Canis lupus familiaris: one gene and its partners. The protein of the gene in region 2 purifies or fractionates together with the protein of the main gene of each other region. This does not show direct contact. Links are inferred from orthologs where the notes say so. Each region holds a gene or a part of one and is shown on either strand. Other genes may lie near its edges.

Region 1 (7,338 bases), on a different chromosome or scaffold from region 2:
ACCAAGCAGTGGAATATCTCACAGCTAATAAAGTCTGCACATTTCACGTTGGGCTGGGTGTGTTATTTACCTGAGGGTCATCAAGTCCTTGACTGTGCTGTGGTCTTCTTTAAGTCCCTCTTACAGGATTTGTGTGTTGTGGACCTGAAGGTACTCTGCTGGGCCCAGGAGCCCCAGGAGCATGGGGCTTTTAACCGGGCTGGGGTAAAGGGAAACGGAGAGGCTCTGTCTTAGTCACCATCAAGAATCATGACAAGAGCCAGCTTCCATAGTGCTCACCCTGTGCCAGGACCCTGCTGACAGCTCTGCAGATACGAGTTCACTAAGCCTCACCACAATCCTATGGGGTTCATATTGTTAGTTCCATCTTAGAGATGAGGGATCAGGAGAAGAGAGGCTAAGAAAGCATAAGGGGAACTTCTGGGGTGCTAGTACTGTTCTATTTTTTTTTTAAGATTTTATTTATTCATGAGAGACACAGAGAGAGATAGAGACATAAACAGAGGGAGAAGCAGGCTCCTTGCAGGGAGCCCAATGTGGGACTCCATCCCTGAACCAGGGATCACACCCTGAGCTGGAAGCAGACACTCAACTGCTGAGCTACCCAGGCATCCCTGCTAGTACTGTTCTGCTTACCGATCCAGTCTCTGGTTACATAAGTGTGTTTCAGATTGTGAAAATACATGCACTTCTATGTGCAAATTATACTTCAATTAAAAAAAAGGAATCTTGCCTAACATGGGAAAAGAAGGACACACTTTCAACCCAGATGGTCTGGCTTGAAAGCACGTGCAGTTAATCACTCCAGTGAAATAAGCTGGCCAAAAAATACCTGGTCACCGATCCTCAGTCCTTTTTTGGTGTTCTTTGAAAGAATTTTGAAAATGAATCCCTCCTATCACATACACATTTTTAAATTAACACTTGAAGTATTTTATTGATAAGCTTAACCAGTTGCAAGCATGTAATTTCCAGGGTATTGTGAATATTGATACTTTAGAAATTGCTTCATTTAAATTGATCCAATTAGGCCCACATAGCATAGTGCTTTGAGAGCCAACACCATTCTTTTTTTGTTGTTGTTACGTAGGCTCCATGCCCAATGTGGAGCTTGAACTCACAACCCTATGATCAAGAGTCACGTGTCTACCGACTGAGACAGCCAGGGGCCCCTAGCATCATTCATTTAAAAAATATGAGAATAAATTTTTTAAAACATTATTCCTTTTCCTCTTCTCATAATTCCATTCTATTCCTACCACAGTTTATGCTACATGTAATTTATTTTCATGTTAAGGTCTATTATTGATAACTTGATCATAACTGTTTGCAACAAATATATATATATATATCTTAAAATTAAATTTTTGGAGACGCCAGGGTTGCTCAACAGCTGAGCTTCTGCTTTTGCCTTCCACTCAGGGTGTCATCCCTGAGTTCCTGGATCAAGTCCCACATCTGGCTCCCTGCAGGGAGCCTGCTTCTCCCTCTGCCTATGTCTCTGCCTTCTCTCTGTGTCTCTCATGAATAAATAAATAAAATCTTAAAATTTTTTTTTTGTAAACTTAACAAGGCTTTAAGGATTATGCTTATTAGTACAGAGTTGCTCAATAGAAATATATTTCAAATTTTTAAAAATTACTTTTTTAAGTTTTTTGTTTGTTTGTTTAAGTAAACTCTACACCCAATGGGTGGCTTGAACTCAGGACCTGGACATCAAGAGTCAGATGCCCTACCACATGAGCCAGCCAGGAGCTCCAAATATATTAAAAAGTTTTATAGAAATTAAAATTTTATTGGAAATGCATGTTTAGGGTGGGTTATTTTTCCTTTCATTAGCTCGTGTGTGGATGAACATCACTTTTTTATTAGAACGAGACAAGGTTTAGCAACACTTTTATATCCATTTTCTTTCCTTTTTTAAAAAAAACTTACGCAGTGGGGCACCTGGGTGGCTTCTTGGTTGAGCTTGTCTACCTTTGGCTCAGATCAAGATCCCGGGGTTCAGGGATCAAGTCCCACATCAAGCTCCCCGCAGGGAGCCTGCCCCTCCCTCCCTCTGCCTGTGCGTGTCTCTCATGAATAAATAAATAAAATCTTTAAAATAACACACACACACACAAACTTAAGCAGAGAAAACGTGCTCAAACAAGAAAGTAGATGGACCACTACAGGGTTTGTTATATATAGCAGCCACTCAATTCTTTGAGTTGTTCAACAGTCCACTATATTTAAATCCATATTTAATGATATCATCTAGTCCTACGATTCTCCTTTCATTGTGTTGAAAGCAAAGCATTGGAAACCATTTAAACTATAAAGAGATGTTACCTAGATCGGGCCCTTCTCCATTACATTTTTTTTTTTAAGATTTATTTATTTATTCATGAGAGACACAGAGAGAGAGGCAGAGACATAGGCAGAGGGAGAAGCAGGCCCCATGCAGGGAACCCGATGGAAGACTCGATCCCAGATCCCAGGATCACGCCCTGAGCCGAAGGCAGATGCCCAACCGCCGCCGAGCCACCCAGGCGTCCCGCCCTTCTCCATTTCAAACTGAGGACACAGATCTGTGCAAGGGCTTGATCAGCTTTTTCCTTGGGCTCCGCTGCGGGGAAAGGCATGGAATGAAGGGGAACCGACAAAAACTTAGGGCAAGTTGGGTCGCTGACTTAACTTTCACCAACGCTGAAATTCGGAGGATTTCTAGAATGGCCAGGAAAGCATAGGAAGGCCTGACTACACATGCAGGTCGGTCTGCAAAGGCGTGTCCGCCGCCGCCTGCCCTTTGAGGATCCTGGGAGAGCAGCTCCCCCCGTCTACGGGAGGAGATTAGGGTGATTCCCGTTGGCTCTGGCCAGGCCGTCAGGCCGCAGGCCCCCGGGTAAGGGAGACTGTAAATTTCTACTGGACAGCGTGGAGAAGCCGCTCGGAATGTCAGCTGCAGCGAGAAAGTCAGAGCAGGTCACGCAGGAGGTTTCACTCTCAGAGACTTGGCCTAGAATTTGCAGGCCTGCCCCCGCCGCAGCTAGCTCGCCCCCAGGCCACCCACGCCCCCATTCACCCGCACTGCGCCGTTATCTCTCTGACTGACATCCCTGTCAGCCAATCACCTTTGGGGCTGAGAAAGCGCCGGCCCCCCCGAAATAGGGCGGGGCAAGTCATTGGAATGACAGACATTTACGCCAATAGGAAAGAGTTTCAGAAGCTACGGCTGCCCTAGCCAATGAGGAGAAGGAACCTTTTGAAAAAACAAGTCAGGCAGCCAACGGCCGGCGCCGCCACGGGGGTCGCGTGGCTTCCGTTTCAGGAGGGCGGGGCGGGGCTTCAAACGGAAGGTGGCTGTTGTCCGAGCCGAAGCGGGTTGGAAACTAGGGGTCGGGCCCGGCGGTCGTTGTCTGTCGCCGCGGCCCCGCTTCCGGGCTAGGCCGTCCCTGCCCGCCCCCTCCCCGCCTCCCTGCGGACCCCTCAGTCTCAGGCCCGGCTCCCCGCCTGACTCGCGCCCGGCCCGCAGCAGCTCGCTGTCGTCCCGGCCCGCACTGCGGCCCCGCCGCCGCCACCATGTCCCTGCACGGCAAACGGAAGGAGATCTACAAGTATGAAGCGCCTTGGACCGTCTACGCCATGAACTGGAGCGTGCGGCCCGACAAGCGCTTTCGTCTGGCGCTGGGCAGCTTCGTGGAGGAGTACAACAACAAGGTGGGCCGGGCAGGGGCTCGGAACCCAGCTGGCGGGGAGCGGGCCCCGGGAGCACCCTTTCCGGGCCGGAGCCCAGACCCCGGGACCCTGCTGCGGACTTGCCTTAGCGCTCCCGGAGTGGTTCGTCAGAGTCTGGCCCTGTGCAGAAGCTTTCGCACTCATTGTTTCGTTTAATCCTGACAGCATTCCTATGTAGTCAGGAGTGTAATTACCCCCCCCCCCCGCGTTTTACTTATGGGGAAACTGAGGCACCGTGTTGTGACTTGCCCGAGTCAGACAGTTATTTCGCGGGGAAATGGCACTCAAACTCGACTTTATCCCCCCAAGGGCTACGTCATTTATCACTCCAGTTCTCTCTCTTCCCGCCGCTTTGCTTCAACTTGGGGGGCGGACAGGGGAAGAGAGAGGGATGGCTGTGAAGAAAGGTGCTGGCGCCTCAGTCGGTGGTCATACACTCTTGGCCACGCTAGATTTCTGTTAGGGCTGTTCAGTGTGCAGGCTTCCCCGCCTCCTACTCCCATCCTCAGGTGCTATTCATGGATTCCCCCTCCCCGGCTCTTCTGCTGGGAGTGTTAACTGCTGTTGCTGCCTCGTATCTGTCCTCTTAAAAGCGATCTCTTTTTGGAAGTTTTGTTCTGTGACCGTGATCCTGCCACGTTTTCAGATAATTCTATTTCAGAATAGAGAAGGAGGACACGTTCCTTACCTTTTCTTGGCTTCTTTCATGCTGATGCAAAAGTGTAACTTGAGTAGTAAGACTTTCTGGACATTGACAATTTGAGGATCTTTCATAGATGCACAGACAATAGGAAGAATCTTTTTAGCGGACATTGCAGCATCAATATATTTTTGAAAGTTGTTGAATATGTCCGTAGGAAGAATTTTATTTCCTTTATCCCTTAATCTTTCTACTTGCTGTATTAAACACTGTGAGAGTGAGAACAGAGCAACTGAGAGCCTTGGCTAGTGGTGTTTAAAGCCTTCTTCAACTCCTGCTTGACACCATGAACATCATGGCTCAAGAATAAAACTGTGTGTACAGTGATAGGCATGGTGCAGGGGAAAAAGCCAAGTGGAATTTGGTTCTGTCTAGTCCACTAAATAGCTGTGGGGTGTTGCACAGGTTAATCTTATTATTTCTGACCTACAGTTTGTTGTAGGAAGAGTTCTTTTTTACACATAAAGGTCTTATCAAAAAACATTTGTGCATTGTAAGTTTGTTTACAGTTTTCCAGAAGCATTTCTCTAGAGTCTAGGTCTCAACTTTGCATGCATGAACTGGGGGTGCGAGAGGGAGAGGGACAAGCAAACTCTCCCCGTTGAGCAGGGAGCCCATTGTAGGACTTTATCCCAGCACTCTGAGATCATTACCTGAGCCGAAGGCAGATGTTGAACTGTTTGAGCCACCCAGGTGTCCCTCTAGAATCCCCTTTGAGAAACTGATGAAAACGAAGGACTCTCATTGCCCCGATATAATATACACAATTTACACACAAATCCCAGGGACTACACACTGATACTGAAGTCTCCCTATTTCTACAGAAAGCAGAGAGTCCTGAGCAAGACATAGTTTTATTTTCTGTATTGGCTCCCACTTCCTTATGCCCCATAGTGGATAGCAGAATGGAATGGAATTCAAGGTCCTGATGTGGAAACTATGTTAGTAAAATTGAGACCACTAGAACTATTATTTAAGAATATGTGTTTAAAAAAAAAACAGTAAAATATATCTTTCATAGGGCTCGAGTTTTTTTTACTCAAATTGGTGGCCCCTTTTTTCTCATAAGGTCTTTCAGAGTCAATTTGGGTAAGATGAAGCTGCCTCATTTCTAAGAAAGGAGGAGCTAAGCCACAGTTAGGCTCCTGGTACAATCAGTGAAGTAACTGGGGTTAACCTCACTTATAGGAACTCTACCCCAAAGTTTGTCCTTTCATTTAGCAACCTAGTGGAACTCCTTTGTGCCAGGCACACAGGAACTATGGGTCTCAGTAGTGAAATGTAAACTGATAATCCCAGTAATCATGAGATAAGCAGTTATTTCTATCTTAACTCATGGGCATGATGTAGGCAAGCCAGTACCTTAAAGCTTTTTTTGTGCCCCAACTTCTCTAAGTCAGGGTTCTTAACGTGTGTATGTATATATGCGGACGTATGCATGCTATGGACACCTTGGGAATCTGAAGCCAGTAGACCTCTTTTCATAATTCCATTTTCAAATGCATAAAATACATAGGATTACGAAGGAAATTGATTATATTGAACTACAGTTATCAAAAACATTTTTTAAAAAGTGGAGTTATAGTAACAGGTACTTTTTTTTTAGGGAGTGGGGGAGGTCCAGAGAGAGAGAGAATATCTCAAGCAGACTCCCTGCTGAGTGCAGAGCCCCTGGATGGGGCTTGAGCATGATCCTGAGATCATGACCTGAGCCAAAACCAAGAGTTGAACACCCAACTGACTGAACCACACAGGTGCCCCTGTACTCTTTAATTAATTCATTAGATTACACCATCCAGTGTAAATATGACTATAATTTTAAAGTAGTGTGAGGATAAATAGCATTTCAAGATGGTTAATTATAGTAATGTGATATGATAAAAATATGATTTCTGTTAGTGACAAAGTCAGATATTGACTTGGTTGTCAGTAGTTGTCTCCCTTCATAATGGAAGGAAATGCTAAATTTCAGCCAGAGGTTAGTGAAAATACAAAATGTGATTTTCCAGTTCAAGTTCATGGACCTCAAGTTAAACCCTGATGTAAAGGATCTGTGTCTAGGGGCTGGTGAGTAGTAAATACCACTCTAACACAATGCCTCTTAGGCTCAGTTTTGGACAAAACTTTTACCAAGAAGGTGCTGGACTTCACAATTTAGAGAAATTTAAAAGTTATTGGTTGGAATTTTCAGATCTTTGTTACCTGCTTGCTGTCGATAGTGATTACCAGCAGAGGGCAAAATAAATGGACACAGCTTTTAACATTGATGAAAAAGAAATGATGAAAAAAAAAGATGATCCAGAAATGGTCATCTTTTTTATTGTGGAGACACTGACATCAGAATACATGATTATAATTTCTAAAAGGTTTGTAGTAATGTAATCATATTTTTCCTATAGTAAAATTATTTGTATTTGTAGTTTAGTAGAAATAAATTTTATTAGTATTTCAACAACTTGACTTTCAAGTGTTCCATCATCTGAATAAATTTGGGAATTGTTTTAGAGTAAAGAGCCAGATTCTATCATCTACATTTGGAATAAGAAGTCTCATTATCATATTTGTGTTTCATCTTTTTGTGGTCTCTACGGGGGGATATAGCAGCATTGGTGTTGGAGTGATGGTTTTCTAAATTTTAGTGTGTTTGAGATTCCTCTGAGGGATTTGCACATTCCTGGGCTCCACTTCTGAAGTTAACAGACGCTCAACTGAATCAGAAATAGGTGGTCCAGATGGCACTCTAAGAACATTACCCTAGGATTACTTGGGCATCTGCTGACCAGAGGCAGGAATTCTATCTTTCTGTATCTAACATGCACCTGAACTTTGATTCTGCTCTTCTATCCCATGCAAAAAGCTCTATTACCAGATAGTCCCTTTGAGGTATTTGGTGTTGAGGTTTCAGTCCTACCTCTTCCCAG
Region 2 (6,576 bases):
GAAGCAGACTTTCTGCTGAACGGGGAGCCCAATGAAGGACTCAGTTCCCGAACCCTGAGATGACCCAAGCTGAAGGCAGATGCTTTAACTGACTGAGCCACCCCACCTCAGGCAGAATTTGATGTTTAAACTGTAATGTTATATAGACATATGGAGAATGTAAATGGAAAAATAAAACTTTAAAATGGTGATTCATCTAATTAAAACCCTTAATTGATTGGAAAATATTCTGATTTGAAGAAAAAGAAACAAAAGCTGAGAAAATAGGAGATCTTGTTCTTGATGTTTCCAAAGGACAGGGAGATTTTACCTTAGTACAGTGAACTTTTAATCTTTCAGAGCTGTCTAAAGATGATCTCTCAGTTAATATGATAACTCACTTATATTTGCATATATTGATTTATATTTAGAAGTACAGATTTTATTACAGAAACATATAGGTATAGAAAAATAAATTATATGCCACATGCATGTAAAATTCCTTAAGAGTCCTTGAAATGAAGCATGGAAGTTTAAGTATAAGGATTTTTTTTTTTAAAGATATTTTAGAGTATGGTTTATGTGAGGAATAAAACCAGAGGCCTATTACCTTCTATTTCTGGAACAATAATAGTATGTTTAAATGAGGAAAATCTTTCCCAAGCAGTTTTAGTGGATTATTTTTCCTATAATCCTGTAACTATTTAAATTAATTATAGTTGAACCTTTGCTTCATTTACCTAAAATGCTGTGTGAACCTTAGGCAGTTTTTTTCTTTTCCTTCTTTTTTTTTTTTTTCCTTTGCTTTAAATAGATTAAACTATTGGTAAATACTTGCTGTTTAGACTATATTTGAGAAAAACTTACCAGCTATGTAGAGCATGACTCCTTAGCTATTTTGACAAGCAGTAACTAGGTGTACAATTGGTTATGACACTGGTAGGTTTCTATGTATGTGCATATCCCAACATAACAGCCAGAAACCTTAAGCTTTCTGTTCTTAAGATATTTATGGTTCTACAATCCAAGAAGGGGGACGCCTGGGTGGCTCAGTGGTTTCAGCGTCTGCCTTGGCTCAGGGCGTGATCCTGGAGTCCCGGATCGAGTCCCACATCGGGCTCCCTGCATGGAGCTTGCTTCTCCCTCTGCCTGTTTCTCTGCTTCTCTCTGTGTGTCTCTCATGAATAAATAAACAAAATCTTAAAAAAAAAAAATCCAAGAGGGTCAACATTTTATAAAAATCTTGTCAGAGCATCTTCTCTTTCTATTCTCCTTCTTCAATTCTGTAATTTAACAGTTTTAAACCAAATACATATCTGGGAGTGCCCTGAAAATGGCATCCAGTGCAAGCTATTTGTTTTGTTTGTGACATTGAGAAAAGAAAATTAAGCTTAAGAGTTAAAAAAAAATCTATTTGTGAATATATACTAACCCCTGAGATCTTTCTTGGTCTGTACCAGTTTTCTGCCATTATTTGTTGACGCAGGAAGTGTTTAGTTATAGGTAGGATGAGTGTGTGATAGAAATGTTCTAATACACTCTCCACTCCAGACTAGTTGAGCTATAGATTTCTTTAACCTCTAACTGTCTTAGTCGGAATCTGTTTCCTGTCACCTATTTCCTTTCTTATATTAGATCAGGTCCCCATTCTTATGTTACCTTAATTATTTCCTTATAGCCCCCATCTCCAAGTAATAGCCACATTGGGGTTAGAGCTTCAGCACAGGAATTTTAAAAGGAGGATGCAGACTTTCAGTTCATAGCACTAGCCTTGTTGAACAAGCATCATGTCTGATCCAGACTCTATTTTAGGCAGTGGCAGTAAGGAGATGCCTAAGAGGCAACATTACTTACTCTTGGGCCCCCAACTCTCACTTTCTCTGCACGGAACATGGGAAACACTGCAACCCACCTCAGAGAGAGTGGTCCTGACAATGAAATGAGAGGACATGTGGTGTCTGGCCCACAGTGGATGGATGCTCAGTAAACAGTAGCTACAACTTTTATTTTGTGTTCTCCCTATTATGTATTTTATTCTTAAAACACTTTGTCTTTTCGCAGTCTTTTTCAAGTATCATTTTCTTCTAGTAGTATCTTCTGACTTCCCCCCTTTCTAGTCCCTCTGTTCCCCAATCTTCTCTCCATACCCTCACGTTTCTCATTATCTATTCCCTCTTCACTTCCATCCCTTCTTTGTCTGCTCCAGATTGAAGCATCCTCTTGGCATTTTTCTCACAAATTTTCCAAGGACAGAGACTTGCCTTTTCCAGGGATTGTTGTGTTATGCTTATTTTTAGAAAAAAAAATTTATAAAGGTGAGCAGGAATGAAAGAGGAGAAATGCAGGTTTAACACTAAGTTAGTTTTATATCAGACAACAGGCTTATACCCATTGAATGGGAACTAGTGATGATTGGAGGCCCTATTACCTTTGTCTCCTTGCCCATCTTCCCCTGAAAGAGGTTTTTCAAAGAAACCTCCCTAAATGTAGGATGGGTTAATTATATTTCTTTACTAGATAGCAGGACAATATGCAGAATGATCTTCTGGCACACTGTTGCTGTTAACTTTAGCAGATACCTCTGTAATTTTTGTTTCATATTTTACTTCAAGTATCTTGTCAGGAAACTATGTAATATCCTTTAATTATGTAATCAGTTATTTCTTTTCAAAAATAATACTATGCCAGTGGCAAAAGAGAAAAATGAATTATATCATTTTCTTTCCTTAACAAAACATATTAAAATCATCACAGTGGAAGAATAAATAAATTTCACAGGCAAGTTCTTCTCATTTCTGCATTCTCGCTGTTGTATGTGGACTTTGGAACTGATTTTGTTTTTTCCAAACAAAATTTTATGTCTTTGATAAATCACCTTTTGAAAATTTTCTTTCCTGGAGTTTAGGTAATTGGAGCACTAGAAGACTTTTAAGTTACGTTCTAAAAATCTGAACTCTGTTACAGTCCTAGAAGAATTTCTGGGATTGACGTTCTTTTAATATTTTCCTTTATCCCTACTCTCTTTACAGTCTTCATAGTTGTGAATAAACTTCTGAAATTCTACCTTGATAGTCTGAAGCTTTTACTTTAAATTATGTTTTGTGTATACTGAGGAGTGTTTGATTACTCATGCTTTTTGTGAGGCCTATAAACTAAATTTTGATATATTTCAGAGTTATTCAGGTCAGCAGGAATTATGCTTCAAACCGGAAAATTAAAAGGTAACATATTAAAGCTCTCTTTTCTCTCCTCTACTGTTTTTTTTTTTTTTTCTTCAGGCTCCTGTTCCAAAGAGTGCACTTATTCCAGTAATTCCCATCACTAAATCAACAGGCTCCCGGTTCCGGAATAGTGTGGAAGGATTGAATCAGGAGATTGAAATAATAATTAAAGAGACTGGAGAAAAGGAAGAACAACTTATAGTAAGTAATCTTGTATCTTAAAATTGTCCTTTCATGTTAACTGTTCTAATTATTTAAAAAGTTACAATTTCATTTTCCATATTTACTTAGGTTTCTTCCTTCTCGTTGAGAGAGAATGAAAATTTGTCTCTTTTGGAAAACTTTGACCTTGGCAAGTGAATGAAAAGTTTTCATTTCTTTGCATCTCATAGAGACAACTGATATGACTTAAGTTTAGATCCTTGAACAGAAACTACTTTTTGTTTATCCATATTTAAAAATCATTAGACAGGTGATAACACTTCTCATTTACTATAACTCCATGTAACAAAATTTAAATTGCACATTTGTTGGGGAGGGAGGGATGTGACTTCAAATACTTTCTAAACGTGAATCTACTTGTTCCCTCTTGTTTGTGAAGTACTATTTGGTTGACTTTATGATCATGAAGTGCAGTTCTGCTTACCTATAATGCACATAAGACATAAGAATGATTCATACATAAGACACAGTGAGAAAATTTCCTATTTATATTTAAAAGCATGTCACAGAGTATATTTAAGCTTTCATTCTTCAGTGAAAGAGGAATCGGGGAGTTTGAAATAGTATTTTATTGATGCTTAAGATCCTCTCTGTGAAGATTAAAGGTTGGTTTAGCTTGGAGGAGACACAACTTCCCACACCCTCTTGTCCATATACTGCATGATGGGAGTAACCCCCTGAAATAATAAAGATAAATGAACCAAAGGTGTATGGGGAGCTGGTTTTCCTATTAAGTGAGCCACACAAGATTTCCTCTAAATGTTCTCCTTGATTTCCCCCTATAACCATTGCTACCATTAACGTTTCCCTTATTTAGGAAGGTATCTTTGGAAAAACTTTCTCAGGGAGATGTAGGCAGGGGAGAAGGTAACAGGACCTGTCATCAGGTATCTCTAGTTCATATAATGGATGACATTCTCTTCTAATATGGAACCTAGTGTTATGCCTAGATTCCTCCTTTCTCTTTTACCATGGCAGTACTTGACAATTTTAAACATATTTAGAACATGATAACTAATTCATTGAAATTTATCATTCAGGAAGCATTGAACACCTGTCCTGTGACTAACCCTAGGAATACAGTCTTTGCATTTGCTGCTCTGTGTTCAGTAGGGCAGTCACATTAGACAGGAATGTCACTGATGGTGCAACACAAAGGCTTTTTTCTCGTTAGACTTAATAAGTGGGGCATTTCTGACCTGTGAGTCATCTGGAACAATAGGGGAAGGTTGATATTAGGTGCATTTCTGGTGAATTTCAAAATTGATGATAAATACACATGTTTTTAAAATTTTATAACAGCCACAAGATATTCCAGATGGCCATCGTGCACCTCCCCCGCTGGTACAGAGAAGTAGCAGCACACGCAGCATTGACACGCAGACCCCCGGGGGTGCCGACAGGGGAAGCAATGACAGCAGCCGCTCTCAGTCTGTGTCGCCCACGTCCTTCCTCACCATCTCAAATGAAGGTAGCGAAGAGAGCCCTTGTTCAGCTGATGACCTGCTTGTTGATCCCAGGGATAAAGGTACAATGCAGGAGGGACTTGTTACCAGATAAAGGAGTACCACCTACTGTATCATTCATTCTGTTCATTTTGTAATAGAACAGACACACTTAAGGCCACTAACGTAATTACTTTGACATGCATTCTTAACATAGATTTTTAAAAATTTAAGTGCAGAACAGTTTTACTATAGTGCTCAAGTGATGGTCTAGTTGGGTCGACTTTTGTTTGTAATTTTTCTTTTTCTTCACTTGTTAATGCAAGTTCCTTATTAGTGAGAGACATTCTTTTGGTATAAATGAACATTTGTCTTGAAAAGCACTTTGTTCTCTCTTGCCTTTTATTAATTTTTTTTTAAGATTTTATTTATTTATTCATGAGAGACACACAGAAAGAGAGAGAGAGGCAGAGACACAGGCAGAGGGAGAAGCAGGCTCCATGCAGGAAACTTGATGTGGGACTCCATCCCAGATCTCCAGGATCACGCCCTGGGCTGAAGGTGGCGCTAAACCACTGAGCTACCCAGGCTGCCCCTCTCTTGCTTTTTAAAACAAACATGACCTGTCATCTGTCTATATTGGGGCAATATTTTGTTAGCCTAACCCAAGGTACTATGTGTACTTGAGGGCAATAATATATTTGTAAATTCTGCAGCTGAGCTCAGTAATCATTTATTTCAAACCTCTTACAAGTGCCTTGAATGTCCTAAAAAGTTACAATTGACCATCACCATCAATCACCTAAATTACTGAGACTGTAACAAGTGCAGACAATCTTAAGAGTTCCTGAAGATGTCAGTTAAAGCTATCTATGGCAGTTGTAAATGTTATTATTTGGACCCTTTTTTTTTTTACCAGCTTCTAAATTAAGTAAAATATGGATACTCCAGGCCAGCACTCTCCACCAATTATATCACAATCCCCCGCGGGTTGAGATACAAGTTCCAAGAGTTTTTGATGCTCCCAATGTGCACCCAGGTCTGACACAGAATTAAATCCTTTGGTTGGGTTGTGTGTTTCTTATCAGGAATCTGCATAATTAAGTACTATTTAGACTTATTGTTCGGATTAAAAGGAATAGTAAATGCAGACCATTTAGCACGGCTCCTGGTACTTAGTACTCAATCAAATGTAACACATACACACTTCCTTTAAAAAACATGGTTATTAAAATATGCCATACTTTCTATTTTTCAGTAACGAGTTGAAACTCCATGAATTTTGTGTAATGGTTTATTTGACTTTAAGAGATGTGACTGGTTAGTTTTTTGAAATTTCTAAGAAAATAAGGCCACAGTGCTACTGCCTACAAAAAACTTATGGCTTAGTTGACATAGACACACTGAAAATTTAGAACACTTAGATATCAGGAATTTTAATGTAGTGGAACTGAGAATATGAACACTGAACAAGAAATACCAGAGCGAAGAAGTATATTTTTTTGTTAGGGTTAATTTGAAGAGATTTCAAAAGTTTGAGCTAGACTTTGAAGGAAATTTTGGGGGATGAATAGAGATGGACCTCTTCAGGTATGGAGAAGTTCATAGGCAAAAGGAAGTCTTTGGCGTACAGTGCATAGAAGACTCCTGACGACCTGGAGCAGAGATTGTAACCAGAGAAGCAGAGAAATCAAATTGAGAAATTCTAA
Region 3 (6,576 bases), on a different chromosome or scaffold from region 2:
CACAGAGTCATATTATTATTTTATGATTAAATAACTTTTGTTTTGAAGTGATTGAGAAATATAATTCATTTGAATGAGTTTTGTAATCTTAAGTTGTTGAAACTTTTAAAAAAGTCTACTGCTTTACCATGAGCATAATTTCTCACCTGGATTATTGATACCTGCCTTGATCTAGTTAAAAGAAAATTCAGTTTACGCCTAGAACAGAGTCTTGCTGACCCTCCATTATCCCCAAAGTTCAGTTAAAAAGATAGGTAAATATATTTGTGCTTGAAATTTCTTTGACAGTGTCTTTAGCTCAGCACATTGTAGATAGATACTCAGTAAATGAATAATGAATTGGGAAGTCAAGTGGAACCAAGTAGATTGATCTTCCATTGGAAGAACTTTCTTTTTTTGAGTAGGCTCCATGCCCAATGTGGGGTTTGAACTCGTGACCCTGAGATCAAGAGTTGGGTGCTTTACTGACTGTGCTAGCCAGGCGCCCCCACTGTAGAACTTTCTAATCACAGAGCTGCTGCTGCTTCTTTTTTATTTTTTTTTAATATTTTATTTGTTTATCAATGAGAGACACAGAGAGAGAGAGACAGGCAGAGACATAGGCAGAGGGAGAAGCAGGCTCCCCATGTGGGACTCAATCCCAGAACTCTGGGATCATGACTTGTTCTAAAGGCAGACGCTCAACCACAAAGCCACTCAGGTGCCCCTAATCACAGAGCTTCTTAAAAGAATTTTTATAATTACATTGGAATTCTGACATCAGTTACTTTTTTGCATTCTTTTTGTGGCTACTATCTAATCAAAATAAAACTCTTGACCATGTCTCTGGGGGTCCTTTTTTTTTTTTTTTTTTTTAAGATTTTATTTATTTATTCATGAGAGACACAGAGAGAGAGAGAAACAGAGACACAGGCAGAGGGAGAAGCAGGGGGAACTCTATCCCGTGACTCCAGGATCATGTCCTGGGCTGAAGGCAGGTGCCAAACCGCTGAGCCACCCAGGGATCCCCTCTGGGGGGTCTTTATTGCATGTGGAGCTGTTTTTAATATTAAACCTGTGAACCTCAGTGATTATTAAGAGCAGATATTGTACATTCTTATGTAACCTTTAAAGATTCTTTTTATTTGTTGAGTGTTGAGTTGTACTGTAGACTCCTGTAGAGTCATTTAGTATTTGTATTGTTCTTTATCCTAACTTTGGATCATATGTATCAAGAATGATGTAAAAACAATCATGCACTGCTGTACTACTCAGGGGTAAAGGCAGTCCAGGACAACACAGTGTATTCCCCCTTTCTCAGGGACCAGACATCGAATACCACCATAGTTAGTTCCAGATAGATCTGTAGAGAAACTTTTGTTTTTATGAAACTAAAAGACCAAAATGAAGGTAACCTTGACAGATGGTGGTTTTATGTCATTCCAGTTGAGTTACAAGGGTTCAGTTTGGTATATATAAGATTTTTACAGGGAAGGGCAGCACTCTACTTTATTGAATGACCTCATCTGATGTGCAGTCAGTGTTAGTACTAAAAGCACAATCTTTGAAACAATTTAGTGAGTATTAAGCCTTTTTAGAGGGTCAACAGTGATCGCATGTAATGGCTTCTTACACTCTTTTTTCATTCATAAGTCTTATAATTTATTCTTGTGATTGAGCTTCATTTTCAAGTTTCCCCAGACCTTCTGTTTTGCACAAGATATCCCATATACCAGCTTGATGAACATAATCAGATGCCTTGATTATGAACTCTAATATCTTGTAAAGCATGCTTTTCAAATATTTGCTGTATTTGCCTAAAAGAAAAAAAGATCTATGTCTTCCTTTGACAATTGTTGCAGGAAATTACTAGTGAGATGTAAGGCTCAGCACAGCGGAATGTGGATATGTATCAGAGCCGGAAAGCCTTCCCAGAGAGAGCTGCCAAGTACGGCACTGTCACAACCTGGAGATCCCCGTGGGTGGAGCTTAGATGAAGTTTTGAGGTTGGGCTCTCAGGAAGTAAAAAATGCGTTCTTGTAGAAGTGAGCATAAAGTTACTGAAGTATTCTCAGTTCTGTTTGTCACTTTGCTACTTGTGTTTCCAGATCTGACTTCATTTTTTTTTTTAAACAAAACGTTTTGGTGGTACTTCTAACATTATATTGCTTATTGGCAGATACCACACCTGTTTAATTCAGCAGACAAACAATTTAGATATTCCTGATTATAGATTGTGCTATTATTGCAGAATGCCGATCTCCAAATTTTAACTTGATTTTCACTCTCCATTTGACATTGAAATGTTGTAGATTGTTTGAGAGTTCGTGCATACATTAGTCTCATTTTATTGGTGTGTATAATTTAAAATGAAACTTTTTTTTCTCTTTCAGTGCATTTGAAACGCCACTTTATGTTTCGAAACCATCTCTGTTTAGTTTTTGAAATGCTGTCCTACAACCTCTATGACTTGTTGAGGAACACCAATTTTCGAGGTGTCTCTTTGAACCTAACACGAAAGTTTGCACAGCAGATGTGCACTGCACTGCTTTTCCTCGCGACTCCAGAACTTAGTATCATTCACTGTGACTTAAAACCTGAGAATATCCTTCTTTGTAACCCCAAACGCAGTGCAATCAAGATCGTTGACTTTGGCAGTTCTTGTCAGTTGGGGCAGAGGGTAAGTATATTTTAGGACTTGGGAATTAAGACAATTAAATAAAATAGTGTTGTTAGATATTGAAGTGTTATTATTTATATCTAATTTGGAAATAATTTCAGGATGGTTCTATTTAAAATGTGCCGCTTGAATCACATTGTGTTAAGCCTATTGTGAGGGAAATCTCTCTTAAAATGCAAATATAAGATTCTGAATTAGAAGGTATTAGTTTTTTAAAAGTGGATTTGAAAAAAAAAGTCATGTATGCCTAAAAGGGAGAGAGAATAGGAGATGAGTGAATTAAATATTAGGTGATTTGTAGCTATATTCTGTAAGTAACGGGTTTAGTATGAATTTGGGGATTTCCCAGTACTAGAACACTGAATCTGTGCTATGAAATACTTCTTGAAAGGTAGATCAAAATAAATGTTTTCTTTAAAAACTGATGTGTTACAGTATAGGTTATTTTGCATTACACATGGTGATATAGTACAGAAATTACACAGTTGGTTAGACATACTTGTTTTGATAAATAAATGTAAGTCTCTTTTTCCCTATATAAATTTTGACACGTGTCCTAACTGGTTTTCCTCAGACTGCTAAAAACAGACCTATCTGTAGCAATAAATAGATTCAGGTTTAGCTAAGAAACCAGATTTTTCCTGCTCTTCTTTCTAGTGTTACAAAAGCTACTCTTAACAGTGTTGCACATATAAAACAGAAGTGATAGGTTACTCTTTTCTTGAAAGGAATTAAAATCATTTAATAATATTTTGTTCGTTTTTGAACCCTGTTCCTGTTTACTTGAAAGTGCTGAAACTGCATTTCTTGGGGGAAAAACATGAAAAACCACAACTAACATTCAGATACTATTATGTATTGGCTTTCTAGTTTTCTTTTTTCCAAATTAGTGAGAGTCTTGTCCTGTGCAGTTTTTTCCCCATGTTTTAAATATGGCTGGTTATTTTAATCATGAAGATTTATAGTCAGCTCACAGGGTTATCTGGCTTTTTTTTTTCTGCAACTTACTCATGGTAGCAGTGTTCTGTAAATCACTGAGATAAATTGAAGGATTAGAAAGCAAAGTTTGCAGTTTCAGATGCCCCTGAAAATCAGAAGATGTGCATAGTTGTTCATGTGGGTAAAGTATATCGTGAGTGGAAAACACATGCCCATCTTGAGAGTCCTTTGAATGGATTTGGATTTGGAAAAATTTCCCCCCCTTTTAAATAAAATCATATGTTCTGTACTAATACCAAATACTATTATGTCTCACCAGCCAAACTAAGACAATTAACCCTTTAGCTCAGTGAGGTTTAAACTATGTGGGTTTATCAGATTAGAATGAGAGGTCCTTTCTAAAATACACATGTGGTGGCCTTACCCTAGATCTACAGTCTCAGTCTCAGAAGGTGGCAGGGCTGGTGTATTTCAGGGGATTTAGGTGCACAGCGTTGGAGATAACCAGACGGAATAGGTGAGAAACAGACTTCTTGCAGAAGCTGTGCAATAAGACGATCTCAGTAGTAGGGAGTCTTTGGGGCTTTACCGATGCTGTTGGCCTATAGAAACTTGGAAATGTAGTAACTTCCTCCTGGCCCTTTTGAATTTCAGTTTCTTCACTCTGATACAGCATTAAGGTTGAGGTGACCAGCTTATGGGGGCATCAGATTACTCTTGGAGATTTGGCTGGAGTTTTAGATGGGAGCCACAAAAGTATTCATGAGAAAGCAGCACCATGCTGATTGATGGCTGCCTAGTTTGAGTGTTAAGTGAGGATGTTTAATTAGGATTTTGTTTGTTTCTTTCTCTTTTTAAATAAAACTTTCTTTGCTTTCATGATATTTCTAGATACAAATTTACAGGGGCTAAGGGAAGATGAATTGGTCTTTCAAGATATTCTCGATTACTTCATTGAAAATTATCCATTTCAAGATTTTCTTTTTCTAAGAGGCCTTAGATTGAGGTGGAAGGGGACAGTATAGGGAAGAAGTGATTGGTCAGAAACGACTCCCAGTTGTTTTTCCAATTTATCTGTGTGGTTAGTACATCTGAATTTTCATTTACGTTGTACTGAGTCTATTTGACTTAATGCTAAAAAACATTCTTTAGGTTAATTTAGATACAATTGAGGCCTTAAATTTATGGTTAACCAAATGCCAGCCGGAGCAGGAAAGAAGAATTAATAGGGAAACAAACGGTTTTCAATAATAATCTTTTTTCTGATGAGGCATAATTATTTGTTTTAAAGGTGTGTATTTTGATTACCAGTTAGGATTGGAATAAATGGAAGGACTTGAATTGTGTATGTTTTGCATTTCACAGTCAAGAGTAACTGCTCTCTTGAAGTGTTTAGTTATTTAAACATTATTTGTAGTAGCAAGTTGAAAGCTGTCAACAGAACCTAAATTCAGGGGATAGGTGGTTACTTTTTCTGGTAATATTAGATAGATGTACTTCAGCGTTGAGCATAATTAAACAAAACTTATGCTGGAATTAACATGATACTGACATGTATTTCAGATATACCAGTACATTCAGAGTCGCTTTTACCGGTCTCCAGAGGTGCTGCTGGGAATGCCTTACGACCTTGCTATCGATATGTGGTCCCTTGGGTGTATTTTGGTTGAAATGCACACTGGAGAACCTCTGTTCAGTGGAGCCAATGAGGTATATAATGGATTGCTTTCAAAACTCTTTTTTCACAGTTTGTTTTTGATTGTAATCTGTGACAGTGTAATCTGAAAATTGTTTTTTAGAAAAAGATGCCTACTTACCAATTTAAATATTCAAATGTTGGGTCAGTCTTTAATTTGCATTTATCCATTTTTAAATTTTTTCAATTATCCTAATGGGGAATTTAGGATTTTGAGATGGGGGTGAGATTTTTTAATTTGCTGGTAAGAACAGTAAGTTAGTTTAGAAAATGTTAAGCCTTTTGATTTATATTTTACAGATTTTCAGTATAACAAAAATAATGATAAAAGGCCTGAGGGACACTCTGAAAACAATGTAAACATCACTGTGTAAATTTTGAGAATATGATTTGGAATAAAGAAGTGATGACCAGTAGCCTTAAATTGGGTATTTGATCTGAATAATTGAGGGTGAATTAAGATGATAGAATTTTAGAGCTACACACTATGTGTAATTATTCTAATTCATGGGTTTTCAGTCTATGTTCTTAGAAGATGTTTGGGGATCAGAGCCAGTGCCTAGGAGGGCATGGGAGAGTCATACTCTCTGGCAGTCAGAGGAATTGGCCTTTCATTGGTTTAAAACCTTGTGAAGTTTTCATTTTTTAAAGAAAAGTTACGCATTACAGATCTTGATCAGTCCATGCATTTATAAATAAGAGAGAATGGCCAACGAAATTTAATGACTTACTTATACTGGGTTATATAGCTGTTAGTATCGTATCAGAAACCTGTCCCTTCCATCTTGCTAATTCACTCGAACTATAGGTTGTGAGCCACTCATGGGCAGTAACTGGCATAGTGTGTGTTTGATAATGTTTCGTTATAAAATACAATTATATTCTCTTAAATCACCTGAAACTTCAGTGGCTTCCATTTTATTCATTGTAAAATCCAAGTCCTTTGAGTGGCTCGAAAATCCCCCCACTCCCTCTACCTCCTGCCTCCTCTGTGCAGTGTTGCCTCCCTTACTTTCTCTGCCAGCACACAGCCTTACTCTGTGGTCCCTTGGAAACAGTAGCCACAGGCCCAGACTAACTGAGGCCTTTGCATTAGTTCTTCCCTGTGCCTTAGAGGCCCTTCCCCAGGGGGCATGTGGCTCTTCCCTCCTGGCCACAGATCTTCAGCTCCTCCGTCTTCTCCGTGATCCTCTAGTACCAGTGGATGACAGTACCCTGTCACTCTCCATCCCTTTTCCTTCCTCCATAGGTCTTAGTTGCCATGGACAAAATATATTTAACT

Evidence for each region.
Region 1: the proteins of FAM117B (region 2) and DCAF7 purify together in Homo sapiens (affinity purification with mass spectrometry; 3 studies listed by BioGRID and IntAct, with this or other methods). This does not show direct contact. The link is inferred for Canis lupus familiaris from reciprocal best matches to the Homo sapiens genes FAM117B and DCAF7.
Region 3: the proteins of FAM117B (region 2) and DYRK1A purify together in Homo sapiens (affinity purification with mass spectrometry; 8 studies listed by BioGRID and IntAct, counting the BioPlex papers as one, with this or other methods). This does not show direct contact. The link is inferred for Canis lupus familiaris from reciprocal best matches to the Homo sapiens genes FAM117B and DYRK1A.

What each region holds. Positions count from the first base shown.
Region 1 is NC_049230.1:15,360,107-15,367,444, reverse strand, and holds the start of DCAF7 (DDB1- and CUL4-associated factor 7), read left to right. Parts: upstream 1-3,431; 5' UTR 3,432-3,561; coding exon 3,562-3,699; intron 3,700-7,338. UniProt on the Homo sapiens protein: Involved in craniofacial development. Acts upstream of the EDN1 pathway and is required for formation of the upper jaw equivalent, the palatoquadrate. The activity required for EDN1 pathway function differs between the first and second arches.
Region 2 is NC_049258.1:11,505,996-11,512,571, forward strand, and holds part of FAM117B (protein FAM117B), read left to right. Parts: intron 1-3,257; coding exon 3,258-3,401; intron 3,402-4,724; coding exon 4,725-4,950; intron 4,951-6,576.
Region 3 is NC_049252.1:32,306,136-32,312,711, forward strand, and holds part of DYRK1A (dual specificity tyrosine-phosphorylation-regulated kinase 1A), read left to right. Parts: intron 1-2,372; coding exon 2,373-2,659; intron 2,660-5,161; coding exon 5,162-5,308; intron 5,309-6,576. UniProt on the Homo sapiens protein: Dual-specificity kinase which possesses both serine/threonine and tyrosine kinase activities. Exhibits a substrate preference for proline at position P+1 and arginine at position P-3.